Linked DNA regions of Stegostoma tigrinum. The protein of the gene in region 2 binds, or shares a complex with, the protein of the main gene of each other region. Links are inferred from orthologs where the notes say so. Each region holds a gene or a part of one and is shown on either strand. Other genes may lie near its edges.

Region 1 (7,815 bases), on a different chromosome or scaffold from region 2:
AGAAGGCAGTGGTGAGCTCATTTCTTGAACTGTTGCAATCCATCAGGGGTCAGGTCAACCACAGTGCTGTTAGGAAGGGAGTGGTACAGGTCTGTGTTGCTATGTTCACATTTCATGTTTTCCAGCTTTTCTTTTTTCCACCAATTTCTCTATGAAATACGATTTCAGATGCTGATTCTTGTAAGGGATCATGGTTCTTGTATTTAGCAGGGTCATCTTTCAGTAACTAGCGATAGCCTAGTTGTTAATAATTCTAATGGAATCATTAGTATTTTATTTAGGCATATATCCATTGTTTATAACTATGTGAGGTGATCTTAGATCTTGCAAAGGTGGATTTCAACAAGATGGTTGCTAGAATGGATGACACAGTTTAAAAAGAAAAAAAGAAACAGTCTTTCTTTTAAGATAGAGATGAAGAGAATTTTTCCAACCAAGGATCATTAAGATTGTGGAATTTTGTCTCCCTTGATGACAGTATAAACTAAGTCTTTCACATTTACTCATGACAGATAAATTTTGGATTAATTAGGGAGTCAAGGGTTATTGGGTGCAGAGAGGAAAGTGGAGATGAGGCCAAAACCAGATCAGCTAAGATCTTATTGAATGTTGAAGCAAGTTCAAAAGGGTCAAATAGCCTACTCTCCTCCTACATTTCTATTTATTTACTCCTCATACCCTTGCCAATTTTATTGCAGTGAATGTAAAGATATGCATCACATTCAAGACTCTCTGAAGAAAACTCTGTAATGCATCAATTTGGAGGTAGAAATATGCTAAGAGCACTATTATTGAAGCATAAATTGGACTGCAACTTCACATACACACAATTAAATGCAAAAGTCAAAAAAAATCAGAATCAGCTGTCCAAGCTGCCCTGTTCATCTATAGGCTTAAAGTACAATAATAAATTACAACAAAGACTTACCACTGAAACACACAGAATTTAGGTTATATACCCATTGAACTCATTTTATAAAGCTAAGAGTTTGACCATTTGAGTGTAAGTTTTTTTGTTAAATGGCTTAAATAAGTCTTAACTAATGCCAAACAGCCTACCAGGTTTGAAAATTAATTTCTGTATATGTGGAGTTCTCATTCCTTCAAATTTTACTTGTTATTGTGAATTTAAAAACAAAACCCTTTCTTTTCTACCTCATCTCTCTAAATATACTTCTTCCTTGCACATTAATTAGTATTTAATTAACTGTTCTAATCTACACTTCCTGGATAGGAATATATGCTCCAGCGAGGATCCACAAATCCCATTGGTTAATTAGATGCACAATTCTTTGTCCAGTTCAGACAGGTCCCAAATCTCAGTTGAGGGCACTGCACCAAAATAGCTTTCAAAATACCGCAAGAAACTGTACAAAAGCCCTGAGAGAATCTGTGGCCAAATGTAATGAAAGACTAACACTGTTTGCTTTATGCTAATCACAAAATCTAGGCCATCCAATATATTTTCAGACATAAGCTCAATGACTAGTTCTTTGAAAATTTCGAGGGCTTAAACAACATCAGAACACAACAATTCTCACCTAATAAGAACGAAATTAAAATAATGTACCAAACCCAAAATTTTATAATATTACTAAATTATACAGCAGCTCAACACCGCTCAATGCTAATTAGGGATGCATAACAAATACTGACCTTGCCAACAACACTAACATTCGCATGAATGAATAAAAAACATCCTTACAATAATGAAATCATCAAATTTTATGGTTCAAAAGGAGGCCATTTGGCCCATCATGTACTGGCTCTCGAAAGAGCTACCCAGCAACTGCTGTTCTTATCAGGGATAACAAGGTTTAGAGCTGGATGAACACAGCAGGCCAAGCAGCATCAGAGAAGCAGGAAAGCTGATGTTTTGGGGGCCAGAGGCCATTCTTCAGAAATATATTTCTGAAGAAGGGTCTAGGCCCAAGACATCAGCCTCCTGCTCCTCTGATGCTGCTTGGCCTGTTGTGTTCATCCAGCTCTACACCGTGTTACCTCAGATTCTCCAGCATCTGCAGTTCCTACTATCTCTGCCATTCTTATCATAACAGCTATTGTCAACTTACTATAATCAAACTTTCTGAACCAATATTTTGTTCGCTAAGACAGTAAACCTGTCCAACTGTCATTAGTCAGGAGTGACATGTATTGATTTAATAGGTAATGTAGAGCAGCTTGCAACCTGCACCATTTTTAATCATAAATGTCACCTACAACACAAGGACGATCTTGACAACATTTAAATAGCACTTTAACAAAAACTGTCGTGGGAGATACGTTTCGTCATATTGACAATTGGAACAGTACAAAACAATAATCCTAAAATGAGCGGAAATTCAACTGTTTGTCCCAAACGTGCCCATATCACGAGCTGAGTTACGCTTTGGATTATTTTTGCCTCAAAAGATGATAATTTGTCCTGACAGTAAAATAACGCGCAGTGCTGCAACCGCATTAAATCGCTGTCCCTTGCAGCACAAACTGAGATTGGGGAATTAGCCGGGTGCAGACTCCTTGGCCCTGTCCTGAGGAGTCACCTTCAACGCCCTGGGCCACTGCAAACTATCGTCAGACAGCTGCTGTTGGCATATCAGAGCTGAACATCCGCATTCACATGTGTCCAGGTCCAGGTCCAGGTCCAGGTCCAGGTCCAGGTCCAGGCCCAGGCCCAGGCCCAGGCCCAGGCCCAGGCCCAGGCCCCGGCCCCGGCCCCGAGCCTACAAGCCGCACTTACCCCGGGGACAGGCAGCTCACAAATTAGGTAAAACAGGAACCTTCACACGGGTAAAGGATACAGCTTAAAGCCCTTCAGAATCTCCTTAGCCCTGTCTTCCTTCGAAGACATTGCAGTTCTCCCGATCCTTCTCCGATAGATCGGAACAAAGGGATTAAAGCGATTAATGTGAAAACAAGAATATCTGTAATGTCAATAAATGTAAAATCGAGCAACAAGCTGATTATCGCCACAGCAACGCTCGGCTCATCGCAGCCCGGAACACCTCCACCCGCCAGCAGCCAATCAGAATGGCTAGCCGGTGCCAACGTCCGATTGACATGGAGATTGACCAATAACCTACGGGTATCTCCGTCAGTCAGCCATTCATCAGGAGGACCCACCCTATAGAGGCAGGGACTGTCGTAAAGCACAGGGCCGATTGGTCATCTTTACAGTCAATCACAGGCGGAAATGGTTTTTGTTACTGGCCTCCACGCTTAATTTTCCTGAAAAAGTAATTCATTGAACCATCTCATTATCCTGGATTAAACTGACACAGAGGTCTCACTGGACACTCTGGTCAAGTTTGGTCAGGTCAGAGGTCGGATATAGTGTCACCAGGATGTCGACCTGTGAAAGTATGAACAGACAGCACATGTATCATTGATAGGAAGAACATTGGGCCATTCAGCCCATCTGCCACAAGAGATTATCTGCTCATTGACATTTGCAGTGCTCTCCCCATATCTGTTGATATACTTTGTATGTTTACAACCTCCTGGGAAAGCACCATAAAGGGACCAAAAACAAAAGTGAGGAAGTGTCACTAGACCCAAAATGTTAACAGTGATAATGGGAAACCATTTCCACTCCCCGGCCCATTCTTTCGATGACATGTCCATCATGGGCCTCCTGCAGTGCCACAATGATGCCACCCGAAGGTTGCAGGAACAGCAACTCATATTCCGCTTGGGAACCCTGCAGCCCAATGATATCAATGTGGACTTCACCAGCTTCAAAATCTCCCCTTCCCCCACCGCATCCCAAAACCAGCCCAGTTCGTCCCCTCCCCCCACTGCACCACACAACCAGCCCAGCTCATCCCCTCCCCCCACTGCATCCCCAAACCAGTCCAACCTGTCTCTGCCTCCCTAACCTGTTCTTCCTCTCACCCATCCCTTCCTCCCACCCCAAGCCGCACCTCCATCTCCTACCTACTCACCTCATCCCACCTCCTTGACCTGTCCGTCTTCCCTGGACTGACCTATCCCCTCTCTACCTCCCCAGCTATACTCTCCTCTCCACCTATCTTCTTTTCTCTCCATCTTCGGTCCGCCTCCCCCTCTCTCCCTATTTATTCCAGAAGCCTCACCCCATCCCCCTCTCTGATGAACAGTCTAGGCCCGAAACATCAGCTTTTATGCTCCCGAGATGCTGCTGGGCCTGCTGTGTTCATCCAGCCTCACATTTTATTACCCAAAATGTTAACTCTGATTTCTCTTCACAGCTGCTGCCAGACCTTCTCAGCTTTTCCAGCAACTTCCGTTTTTGTTTCTGATTTACAGCATCTGCAATTCTCTTGGCTTTTACCATAAAAGGAGCCCTGCTTTCCTGGACTCATACCAAAGTTTATGTTTTGAAAAATATGCACAGGACCCTAACTTACCTGACTTTCAGAGCAAGGTTGAAGGATATCACGGACCGGGTTTCTGTCCTAAACAAAACCTATTGTTTTTTATAGATAATTTGACTGTAGTTACAGGTAAATATAACACCAGTAACAAAATCTAATCTTCTTATAGATACCCTATTATACACATAGAGACAAGAAAATAGGGAAAACAAATTATTGACAGGGATAAAGCAAAACTGGAATATCAGTTCAGTGGTCTTTGCTATCCAGTTTTAATGTTGAGATGTTCTTTCTTCAGTTAACCAGAACCTTCGTGTTCAGTTGACTTTCCCTGGAATCTTCTAATGATTTGCTATGAAGACTATATATAGACCAAACATCCTTGGCCTCAAACCAGTCTGGAACTGTTTTGAAAGTCAGAGAAAACAACAGTCTTTTATTGATTGGTTGATGTTACTGATTGATTTTATTGAAACATAAACAAAGCTTTTCACTGTATTTCAATATGCAAGCGATACAGGCAGATCACAGTAAGCAAGGATACACAGATCAAAAATACTTAGAGACATACAGGTTACATTATTTGAGGCTACAATCCATTTAACAGGCTGATAATGACTGTAAAGAAGATGTTTCTGAACATGCTTGTGCATGTGTTCAGGCTTCTGTATCTCTTGCTTGACGGAAGAGGTTGTAGGAGGTCATTACCAGGGTGCGATGGGTCTTTGCTGATGTTGGCCTTCTTTCTGTGGCAATGAGCTGTGTAACTAGAGCCCATGGATGGAAAGTTGGCTTCTGTGATGGTCTGGGCTGTGCACACAACCTTCTTTAGTTTCTTGTAGTCCTAGGCAGAGCAATTGCCATACCAGGCTGTTATGTAACTGGATAGTATGCTTTCAATAATGCATCTGTAGAAGTTGGTGTGGATCCTTATGGACATGCCAAATTTCCTGAGCCACCCGAGGAAAAAGAAGCATTGTTGTGTTTTCTTGATTGTCACATTTAGAACATAGAACATAGAAAAGCACAGCACAGTACAAGCCCTTCGGCCCATGATGTTGTGCCGTGGAATAATCCTAATCCAAAACTAAAATAACCTAACCTACATTCCCCTCAATTCACTGCTGTCCATGTGCATGTCCAGCAGTCGCTTAAATGTCACTAATGACTCAGCTTCCACGACTACCACTGGCAAAGTATTCCATGTGCTCACAACTTATGTGGGAAGTCCAGGACAGTTTGTTGGATATTGTCACTTCGAGGAACTTGATGCTCACCACTCTCCCAACCTCAATTCCATTAAATGTAGGTGGAGGCGTGTGCTCTTCCTTTCTTTCTGAAGTTGATGATCAGTTCTTTAGTTGTACTGTGTTGGAGTGACAAATTGTTTTCATTGCACCACATCACCAAGCCTACATTTCAAAAAACTCAAAACTGTGATAAATTATAGTTGGGGAATCTCCCAACTCCCATCAAGAATGATTCTGGACTACCACCTATAGTGGCATTTGTTGAAACCACCATGAAACACATGACGAATGGTAAAGCCACTGCAGTGGACAGGATTCCAGTGGAGATTTTGAACCTTGGAGGAGCAAAGCTTACCCATCATCTCCAAAAATTGGTCCTCAAAATCTGGGACAAAGAGGAAATCTCTGACGATCACAGGGGTGCTGCCAATGCCACCATCTTCAGGAAAGGAGACAAAGCGAACTGTGGAAGCAACTGAAGAATCTCCCCATTATTGGTCGCCAGGGAGATCACTGAGACACTTTCTCCCAGTCTCTGAATAAATCCTTCTGAAAGCCAGTGTAGCCTCTGACCAAACTGTGAAAATATGGACATGACTCCAAAATAAATGCCAGGAACAACACCAACAACTTTACATGACTAGCATCAACTTGACCATGGTTTTTGATCCAGTCAGTCGGGAACTGCTACTGAAGACCCTATCAAAGGCCAACTGTCCAGTGAAATTCATCAACATTGTTTGTCTCTTCTATGGCAAGATGTTGGCAACAGTCCTCACAACAGTAATGTGACAGAATCTTTTGAGGTTAAGGTATGAGTCAAGCAGGGATGTGTCACCACCGATGTCCTTTCTTTCCTTTTCATTGCCATCATTCTTCATCTTGTCAAGAACACAAGTTTCCCAGTGGTGTGGACATTGTCCACAGAATGGACGGAAAACTTTAAACCTCAAACAATTAAAATCCAAAAAGAAAATCACACGAGTATAGTTCATGGAATTTCATTTCTGCTCTCTCAGTCTTCAAACCTTGTTTAATGCCTTTGCAGAATCATATTGAAGAATTGGTATCATTCTCAACTCCAAGAATCAAGTCCTTTCGAAGCCCATCCCAGGGCAAGTTCTGTTCGGTCCCTCCATTAAGATCAATGGAGAAATCTTCCCAAACATAGAACATTTCCCCTTCCTAAACAGCCATCTCTCTTCTAATCCAATCCATAAGCACCACCAATGAATATCTGAGAATGAGAGTCTTCAAAGATTGTGACATCCACTGAGATCCTTGTGTATAATGTAGTCATTCTTCCAATTCTTCTATATGCCTCCTAAACTTAATTTACATATAGACACCGCTTCAAGGCCCTGGGGAAGTACCATCAATGCTGTTTGAGAGGGATTCTCCACGTCACCTGGGAAGACAGGCATACTAATATCAGCATTTTCGAAGGAGCCAATAGCACCAGCATCAAGACCATGATCATTCAAAACCAACTCTGCTGGGCTGGCCATGTGCTTAGGATGCCTGAGTTCCGACTACCAAAGCAAATCTTCTTTGTTCACCTCATGGAAGGCATCGAAATGAGAGATGGACAAAGAAAGTGCTTCAGAGACTGGAGGCTTACCTCAAGCAGAATAGACATCAGTGCCTGAGAGACGCTGGTTCAGAAGAAACCAACTTGGAAGAATCTGCCGTGTAATGGGACACAATTTTTTTGAGAACACTGATCAGTAAGTGGAAGTATGAAACTGGAGTCGGAGAAAGGAATACCAGTGATTGAGGTCAAAAACCAATTCCACCTGCCATATGTGTGGTTGGAGGTACAGCTCTAGGATGTGGTTCATCAGCCACGCGTGCACCCACAGAACTCATGAACAGTGACACAGAACTTCCTAGATGCACAATCATACTTGTTAGTGAGTGATAACTGATGATGACTGGTTTCTCCGAGGTAAAAGAGTGACTGCTTCACTTGGAAATGTCTCTGATTTATCAATTCAAACATTACAGCTGCCAGCAACTGCTGCATAAAAAGTAACTCATTTTAATCTCTGCTAGGGAGAACAGCGGTACACCCTTCTGTGTCTTTCTGTGAGCCTATGACTCATGTTTCTTATCATTCAGTTAGCTGAAAACCAATCAGATTCACTGTAAACAACATCCCAACTCATTATTGTCTGCACGTTGCAGGGTGCCTTAGCCACAGAAATGAA
Region 2 (7,266 bases):
AGTACCACTAAACAGTAAAGTTTAGCTTGGACGCAGAGATGGTTTGAGGTGTATATATTTCAATGCTACAAGTATCAGAAATAATGCGGATGAACTTAGAGCACGAGTCGGTCTTGGAACTACAATGTTGTGGCCATTCCAGAAACTTGGGTAACTCAGGGAGAGGAACGGCTGCTGGAGGTTCTGGGATTTAGATGCTCTAAAAGAAATAGGGTGAGGGGAAAAAGAAACGGGGCAGTTGCACTGCTAGCCAGGGCTAATATAGCAGCTACTGAAACACAGTTCGAGAATGATATGTCGAGAGAGTCAGTTTGGTTTGAGGTCCAGAACAACAAAGGAGCAGTCACTTTGTTGGGGTTTTTTTTAAAAACAGATCCCCCTAATAGTTGTAGAGAAGTGGAGAAGCAGATTGGGAGGCAGATACTGGAAAGGTGCAGAAGTCACAGGGTTGTAACCACGGGTGACTTCAACTTTCCAAATATTGATTGGAAACATTTTAGTTGTAATAGTTTAGATGGAGCGGATTTTGTCCAGTGCTTTCAAGAAGGATTCCTGACACATTATGTAGATAGACCAACACAAGGAGAGGGCAAGATAATAAAATGTGAGGCTGGATGAAGACAGCAGGCCCAGCAGTATCTCAGGAGCACAAAAGCTGACGTTTCGGGCCTAGACCCTTCATCAGAGAGGGGGATGGGGTGAGGGTTCTGGAATAAATAGGGAGAGACGGGGAGGCGGACCGAAGTTGGAGAGAAAAGAAGATAGGTGGAGAGGAGAGTATAGGTGGGGAGGTAGGGAGGGAATAGGTCAGTCCAGGGAAGACGGACAGGTCAAGGAGGTGGGATGAGGTTAGTACGTAGGAGATGGAGGTGCGGCTTGGGATGGGAGGAAGGGATGGGTGAGAGGAAGAACAGGTTAGGGAGGCAGTGACAGGTTGGACTGGTTTTGGGATCCAGTGGGGGGGAGAGCTGGGCTGGTTGTGTGGTGCAGTGGGGGGAGGGGACGAAGTGGGCTGGTTTTGGGATGCGGTGGGGGAAGGGGAGATTTTGAAGCTGATGAAGTCCACATTGATACCATTGGGCTGCAAGGTTCCCAAGCGGAATATGAGTTGCTGTTCCTGCAACCTTCGGGTGGCATCATTGTGGCACTGCAGGAGGCCCATGATGGACATGTCATCTAAAGAATGGGAGGGGGAGTGGAAATGGTTTGCAACTGGGAGGTGCAGTTGTTTATTGCGAACCGAGCGGAGGTGTTCTGCAAAGCGGTCTGCAAGCCTCCGCTTGGTTTCCCCAATGTAGAGGAAGCCACACCGGGTACAGTGGATGCAGTATACCACATTGGCAGATGTGGAGGTGAACCTCTGCTTAATGTGGAAAGTCATCTTGGGGCTTGGGATAGGGATGAGGGAGGAGGTGTGGGGGCAAGTGTAGCATTTCCTGCGGTTGCAGGGAAAGGTGCCGGGTGTGGTGAGGTTGGAGGGCAGTGTGGAGTGAACAAGGGAGTCACGGAGAGAGTGGTCTCTCCGGAAAGCAGACAGGGGTGGGGATGGAAAAATGTCTTGGGTGGTGGGGTCGGATTTTAGATGGCGGACGTGTCGGAGGATGATGCGTTGTATCCGGAGGTTGGTGGGGTGGTGTGTGAGAACGAGGGGGATCCTCTTTGGATCCCATAACCAGCCCAGCTTGTCCCCTCCCCCCACTGCACCACACAACCAGCCCAGCTCTTCCCCTCCACCCACTGCATCCCAAAACAAGTCCAACCTGTCTCTGCCTCCCTAACCTGTTCTTCCTCTCACCCATCCCTTCCTCCCACCCCAAGCCGCACCTCCATCTCCTACCTACTAACCTCATCCCACCTCCTTGACCTGTCTGTCTTCCCTGGACTGACCTATCCCCTCCCTACCTCCCCACCTATACTCTCCTCTCCACCTATCTTCTTTTCTCTCCATCTTCAGTCCGCCTCCCCGTCTCTCCCTATTTATTCCAGTTCCCTCTCCCTGTCCCCCTCTCTGATGAAGGGTCTAGGCCCGAAACGTCAGCTTTTGTGCTCCTGAGATGCTGCTGGGCCTGCTGTGTTCATCCAGCCTCACATTTTATTATCTTGGATTCTCCAGCATCTGCAGTTCCCATTATCACTGATACAAGGAGAGGGCATTTTGGATTTGGTGCTTCACAATGAACTGGGCCGAACGTGAGATCTGTTGGCAGGAAAGCATTTCGGCAGTAGTGATCATAACTCTGTTAATTTTACAATACTCATGGAAAAGGATAGGTACATACAGCAGAGTAAGGTTTATAATTGGGGTGGGGGGAGAAGGGTAATTACAATTCCGTTAGGCAAGAACACGGTAACTAAATTGAGAACAGATGCTGTCAGGGAAGAGCACTATCGAAATGTGGAGATTGTTTATGGAATGCATACAGCGTGTGCTCGATGTGTTTGCCCCTGGCAGTAAGGGAAGACGCGGTCACGTGAAGGAGCGCTGGTTCTCATGAGAGGTCGAATGTCTGGTTAAGAGGATGCTTATGTAAGGATTAGGAAACAAGGATTGGAAAAGGCTCTAGAGGGATACAAGTTTTCCAGGAAGGAGCTGAACAAAGAGCTTAGGAGAGCTATAAGGGGGCATGAGAAAACCTTGGTGGATAGGATCAAGGAAAACTTCAGGCCTTTTTACACATACGTGAGAAATAAGAGAACGACCAGAGAAAGGGTAGGGCCAATCAAGGATTGTAAAGGGAATTTGTGCACAGAGCGTAAAGAGATCGGAGAGGTCCTGAATGAATACTTTTCTTCGATATTCACAACTGAGAGGGACCCAGTTGTAGAGGAGTACAGTCTGAAACAGGCTGGTAGGCTAGAGGAGATCGATGTTGGTAAGGAAGATGTACCAGGAATTTTGAGGGAGTTGAAAATAGATAAGTACCCCAGGACTGATGGGATTTATCCAAGGATTCTATGGGAAGCAAGGGAAGAGATCACAGGGCCTTTGGCGATGATCTTTTCACCCTCACTGTCCAAGGATATAGTGCCGGATGATTGGAGAGAGAGAAACAACATTCCCTTGTTCAAAAACGGGAATAGGGATAACCCTGGAAATTACAGGCCAATTACTCTTACGTCAGTGATGGGCAAATTATTGGAAAGGGCTCTGAGATATAGGATTTATGATCACTTGGATAGGCACAACTTGATTTGTGATAGTCAGCATGAATTTGTGAGGCGTAGATCTTGCCTCACAAACCTTATTGAATTCTTTGAAGAGGTTATCAAACACGTGGATGAAGGTGGAGCAGTGGATGTGGTATACATGGTTTTAAGTAAGGTGTTTGATAAGGTTCCCCATGGTAGGCTTTTGCAGAAGGTAAGGAGGCATGGGATAGGCGGAAATGTGGCAGATTGGATTCAGAATTGACTGACCCTAAGAAGGCAAAGGATGGCAGTGGATGGAAAATATTCAACATGGTGCTCAGTTATGAGTGGTGTACCACAAAGACCTGTCCTGGGTTCTCTTCTGTCTGTTGCTCTGACTTTTAGAAGGGGAGCACAATGGCTCGGGGGTTGGCACTGCTGCCTCACAGCACCAGGGACCCAGGTTCAATGCCAGCCTCAGGTGACTGTGTGGAGCTTGCACATTCTTCCTGTGTCTGAGCGGGTTTCCTTCGGGTGCTCCGGTTTCCTTCCATAGTCCAAAGATATGCAGGCTAGGTGGATTGCCCATACTAAATTGTCCATAATAACCAGGGATGCGCACACTTGGTGGATTAGCCAATGGGAAATACAGGGTAACAAAGTGTGGAGCTGGATGAACACAGCAGGCCAAGCAGCATCTTAGGAGCACAAAAGCTGACATTTCGGGCCTAGACCTAAAATACAGGGTTACAGAGTTGGGTAAGGGCGTGGGTCTGAGTGGGATGCTCGTCGGAGGCTCGGTCCAGACTCGATGGGCCAAATGGCCTATTTCCACACTGTAAGGAATTCACTAAAGGGAGGGAATCAAATGAACTTCAATTCCCAGCAATCAGCGCGAGATGCGCGTGTTGGGTAGGGCTTGAGAACGGGGCGGGGTGAACAGACCAGCCGCCAGCGTTGCTGAGAAACCAACACTTGCCCTGCGCGCAGCCGGCACACTGAGGCATGGGAAGGCGGAGTGGGCGGGGAGATATATGATTGACGCACGTTTCAGCCAATCGATACGTGGAAGAAAACGTTAGGCCGGCGGGGTTAGTCCAATAGGCGGCGGTGAGGGGGTGGGTCCTGCCTGTTGGAAGGTTCCGGTTGAATCTGGTGAAGGGGAAAGGGGGCCGGAGCTGCGCCACTACGCGTTTAGAGAGCCCAAAAATAGCAAATACCTGACAGATCATACCTCAGTAGAACAGAAATTACCATTGATTGTGTTTTTTGTTGCTTTCTAAACTCCGTATTTCTTAAAAGAAATCCATGTAGATTAATTTATTGAGGTATTAAGTTCCCACCCCTCCCCCTACTTTTTTTCCTGGGGGGGTTGTCGGCCTGTAATTTGAATTCTTTTAAAAAGGAAATAACAACAGAAACATTTTTTAAAATATAAAAAAGTACTTTTTTTGGCTTGAACCTCGTTGTTAACATGCCACAACCGAAGTCCCGTAAGGTTGCGATATTAGGATACAGATCTGTGGGTGAGTAAAAAGCGTTTGGCACAGCCCAGCCTGTGCACTGAGTGAGCAGTTAACCCAGAGACGGCAGTGCTCTCATCATTTGCAAACATTCGTGCTTGTTCTGCAAGGTCTTGCAACCAGTTTTTATATAGCTGTGCATTGATATGGGGTTAGTAGAGACATCTTAACGTCATTATTACTTGTTATGGAAAATGCTCCAGCTCGATTTTTCTTTTAAAAAATGTTTCCACAAGCTTAGACGTTATTGCTTGTTACACAAGGTCTTGAGAGGAATTTTCATGTGTCTGTGAATAAGACACTGATCTGCATGGTCAGACTAAGACATTCCCGCTTGCTGTATGGAATTTTGTAGCTACGTATTATGTATCACTATTTTCATGAACTCGTTATTTGGGGCCGTTACACCTTTACAAGATCGTGTAATCTTCGCAAATTTGTGTAGGCTGAGCAGGAAGCTGAAAGACGTTGGTTGTTTTCGAAAATCTTGCAACTAGTTGTCCTATATCAGTATTTCCTTAATTTAATCATTTCATGACATTATTGCTTGATCCAGAATATTCCGCAACTGTTTAGATTGTATTTATACATTAGCATAAAACCAAAGATTAAATCTCTGGAATAACTAACCTCGTGTAATGGCTGACTTTCCTTCCTCCCTCAACCTTTACTTTGTTTTACCACGGAATGGTGGTTTGTTACTGGTTTTAGTAACTAATGTTGCTGCCAACAACTCTTAAAGTCTCTTCTCGATTTTAAAAAAACTTTATTAGATTAACTAGCCTTATGCTACGATTGACCATATTCTTTACCAGGATGGAGAACTTTTGTTTTGTATAGTGCGTCGGTGTGATGCATGTTAAATGTGTTTTTCTGGTTTGTTCCAGCGACGTTAATTCACAAAGGAATTCTCTAGGAAACCTAACCCCACGTAATGACTGTCCTTTTACTTCCCCTCCCCCATTCGTTAGCTTTGTTTTAGCTTTTCAGTGACAGCTGGTAGAGAAATAAGCGTTATTACGGTGTGTTTCTTGGAATTTCTGTTTGTGGAGTGCCTTTTAATAAAATATTACAGACTGTAATCGGTAATTTTTGTTTTAAAAGTAGTTTTCTCTGCAAATGTTAACATTGCATAACTACTTTGCGACGTAAATTTCGACTTAAACGTGGTTGGATACACGAGAGGCAATTAGTTCAGTGAAACCTGGTGGATTCGGCTTTTTAAATAGCCGTTCCTTACGGTAAATGGGCCTTTTACCATCGCTCAATGTCGCAATGGCAGATTTTACCCTTTAATTTTAGTCATCTATTTCAGTGTATTATGTTGCGTTAATTTAGTGATGCAGTTTGAACAATGAAGGTTGTTTTACAACAAGTCATTTACCTGAGGGAAAAATGCATTTATGTAATCTGTGCAGGATTTCAATTTTAGATTATTAGTATGTTGGGATTTAATACCAAGCTATTAAAGGTTTAGAAACATAAATTTAAGCAGTGATACTGTCAGCAGAAATAAATGCCTTGATGCATTAAAGCTGAACAGCCAGGAGGATTTTGCTGCAGTTTTCTAATGTTTCAGGCTATCCAGATATCGGCTGCTATCTAAATGTTTATGATCATAGCAATAGATTATTGCCTAATGCAGCAATTGCCTTGCTAATGTTGTGATTCATTTTGGAGCACCCCATGTTTGGCATGCTTTCTGGATGTGGACATAGCAAATGGACTACTTTGAGGGTTATGACTTCTTTTGGTGTATTTTTGGAATCATGAGCCCTTTCTAGCTAAGGAACGTTGTATAGCATATTACCCTTGGAATTCTGTGGCTTTGAAATGTAAACGTTTTTCTGTTGCTGAAAAATTCCTAGCACTTGCATGGAACAGATTAATTCAGTTAGGACCTGGTCATTTTTGCAATTGTGCAGGTTGCCTTGATGAATTTAAACAAATTTAAGCAGTGTTTTTACAAGTATTTCATAGCAAAACAATTTCAACTAAATAGTAAAATAATGGTAAATGCGAGTATGTAAAATCAAGGCCATTGACATGACACTGATAAAATAGCCTGTTTTGCTCAGTGTGTAGTGTCATTCCAGTCCTGAGTTGCGTTATGTCTGTGAAATGTACTCCAACGTGTTGTTGTCATCATACACACAGGTTTTTAAAAAAAAAATTAGCCTGTATTTGTGTATTAGAGTGGGCAGACAGAACAAGCTCTGACAATTGAACCATGATTGGAATCAAAGCTGTGTTGATTTTGTCATTTGGATTATATTGAAAGTGAAATTTCATGTGGCACGTTGCAGTATCAGTGTTCAATCTAATAATCAGGCTTCTGTGGTTCACCTATGGTGTGGCTAACACCAGTTCGCTGTAAACTTACACTAGTTGGAGAATCTTGTATTACTTACAACTAGCTCTCTTTTCAGAATCTTACAGATCTTTTAAAGTAAAGTATTCCTAACTTTTGGGCATTAGCTTGGGCCATCTGGATGTTTAGTTTTTGCCATTGCTTTGACGACACATACTTCATTGCCCTTGCAATAAAGGCCAGTATTCTATAGATCTTCCTAATCATTTATATCACGAAGTTAACATGCACCTATGTCATAAG

What was found. The genes of interacting proteins can lie anywhere in the genome.
Region 1: the proteins of rheb (region 2) and pde6d are in contact, whole or in part, in a crystal structure (PDB 3T5G), measured with the Homo sapiens proteins. The link is inferred for Stegostoma tigrinum from reciprocal best matches to the Homo sapiens genes RHEB and PDE6D. Residues at the interface, in NP_005605.1 of Homo sapiens: Pro2, Gln3, Ser4, Gln57, Asp77, Gln176, Gly177, Lys178, Ser179, Ser180, Cys181; in NP_002592.1 of Homo sapiens: Ile53, Leu54, Cys56, Val59, Val80, Gln85, Cys86, Leu87, Glu88, Glu89, Trp90, Ile109, Glu110, Ala111, Ala112, Pro113, Gln116, Met117, Met118, Leu123, Tyr149.

The regions. Positions count from the first base shown.
Region 1 is NC_081367.1:37,422,599-37,430,413, reverse strand, and holds the start of pde6d (retinal rod rhodopsin-sensitive cGMP 3',5'-cyclic phosphodiesterase subunit delta), read right to left. Parts: upstream 3,009-7,815; 5' UTR 2,852-3,008; coding exon 2,802-2,851; intron 1,853-2,801; exon of another isoform or gene 1-1,852. UniProt on the Homo sapiens protein: Promotes the release of prenylated target proteins from cellular membranes. Modulates the activity of prenylated or palmitoylated Ras family members by regulating their subcellular location.
Region 2 is NC_081355.1:146,855,415-146,862,680, forward strand, and holds the start of rheb (GTP-binding protein Rheb), read left to right. Parts: upstream 1-4,257; 5' UTR 4,258-4,603; coding exon 4,604-4,655; intron 4,656-7,266. UniProt on the Homo sapiens protein: Small GTPase that acts as an allosteric activator of the canonical mTORC1 complex, an evolutionarily conserved central nutrient sensor that stimulates anabolic reactions and macromolecule biosynthesis to promote cellular biomass generation and growth.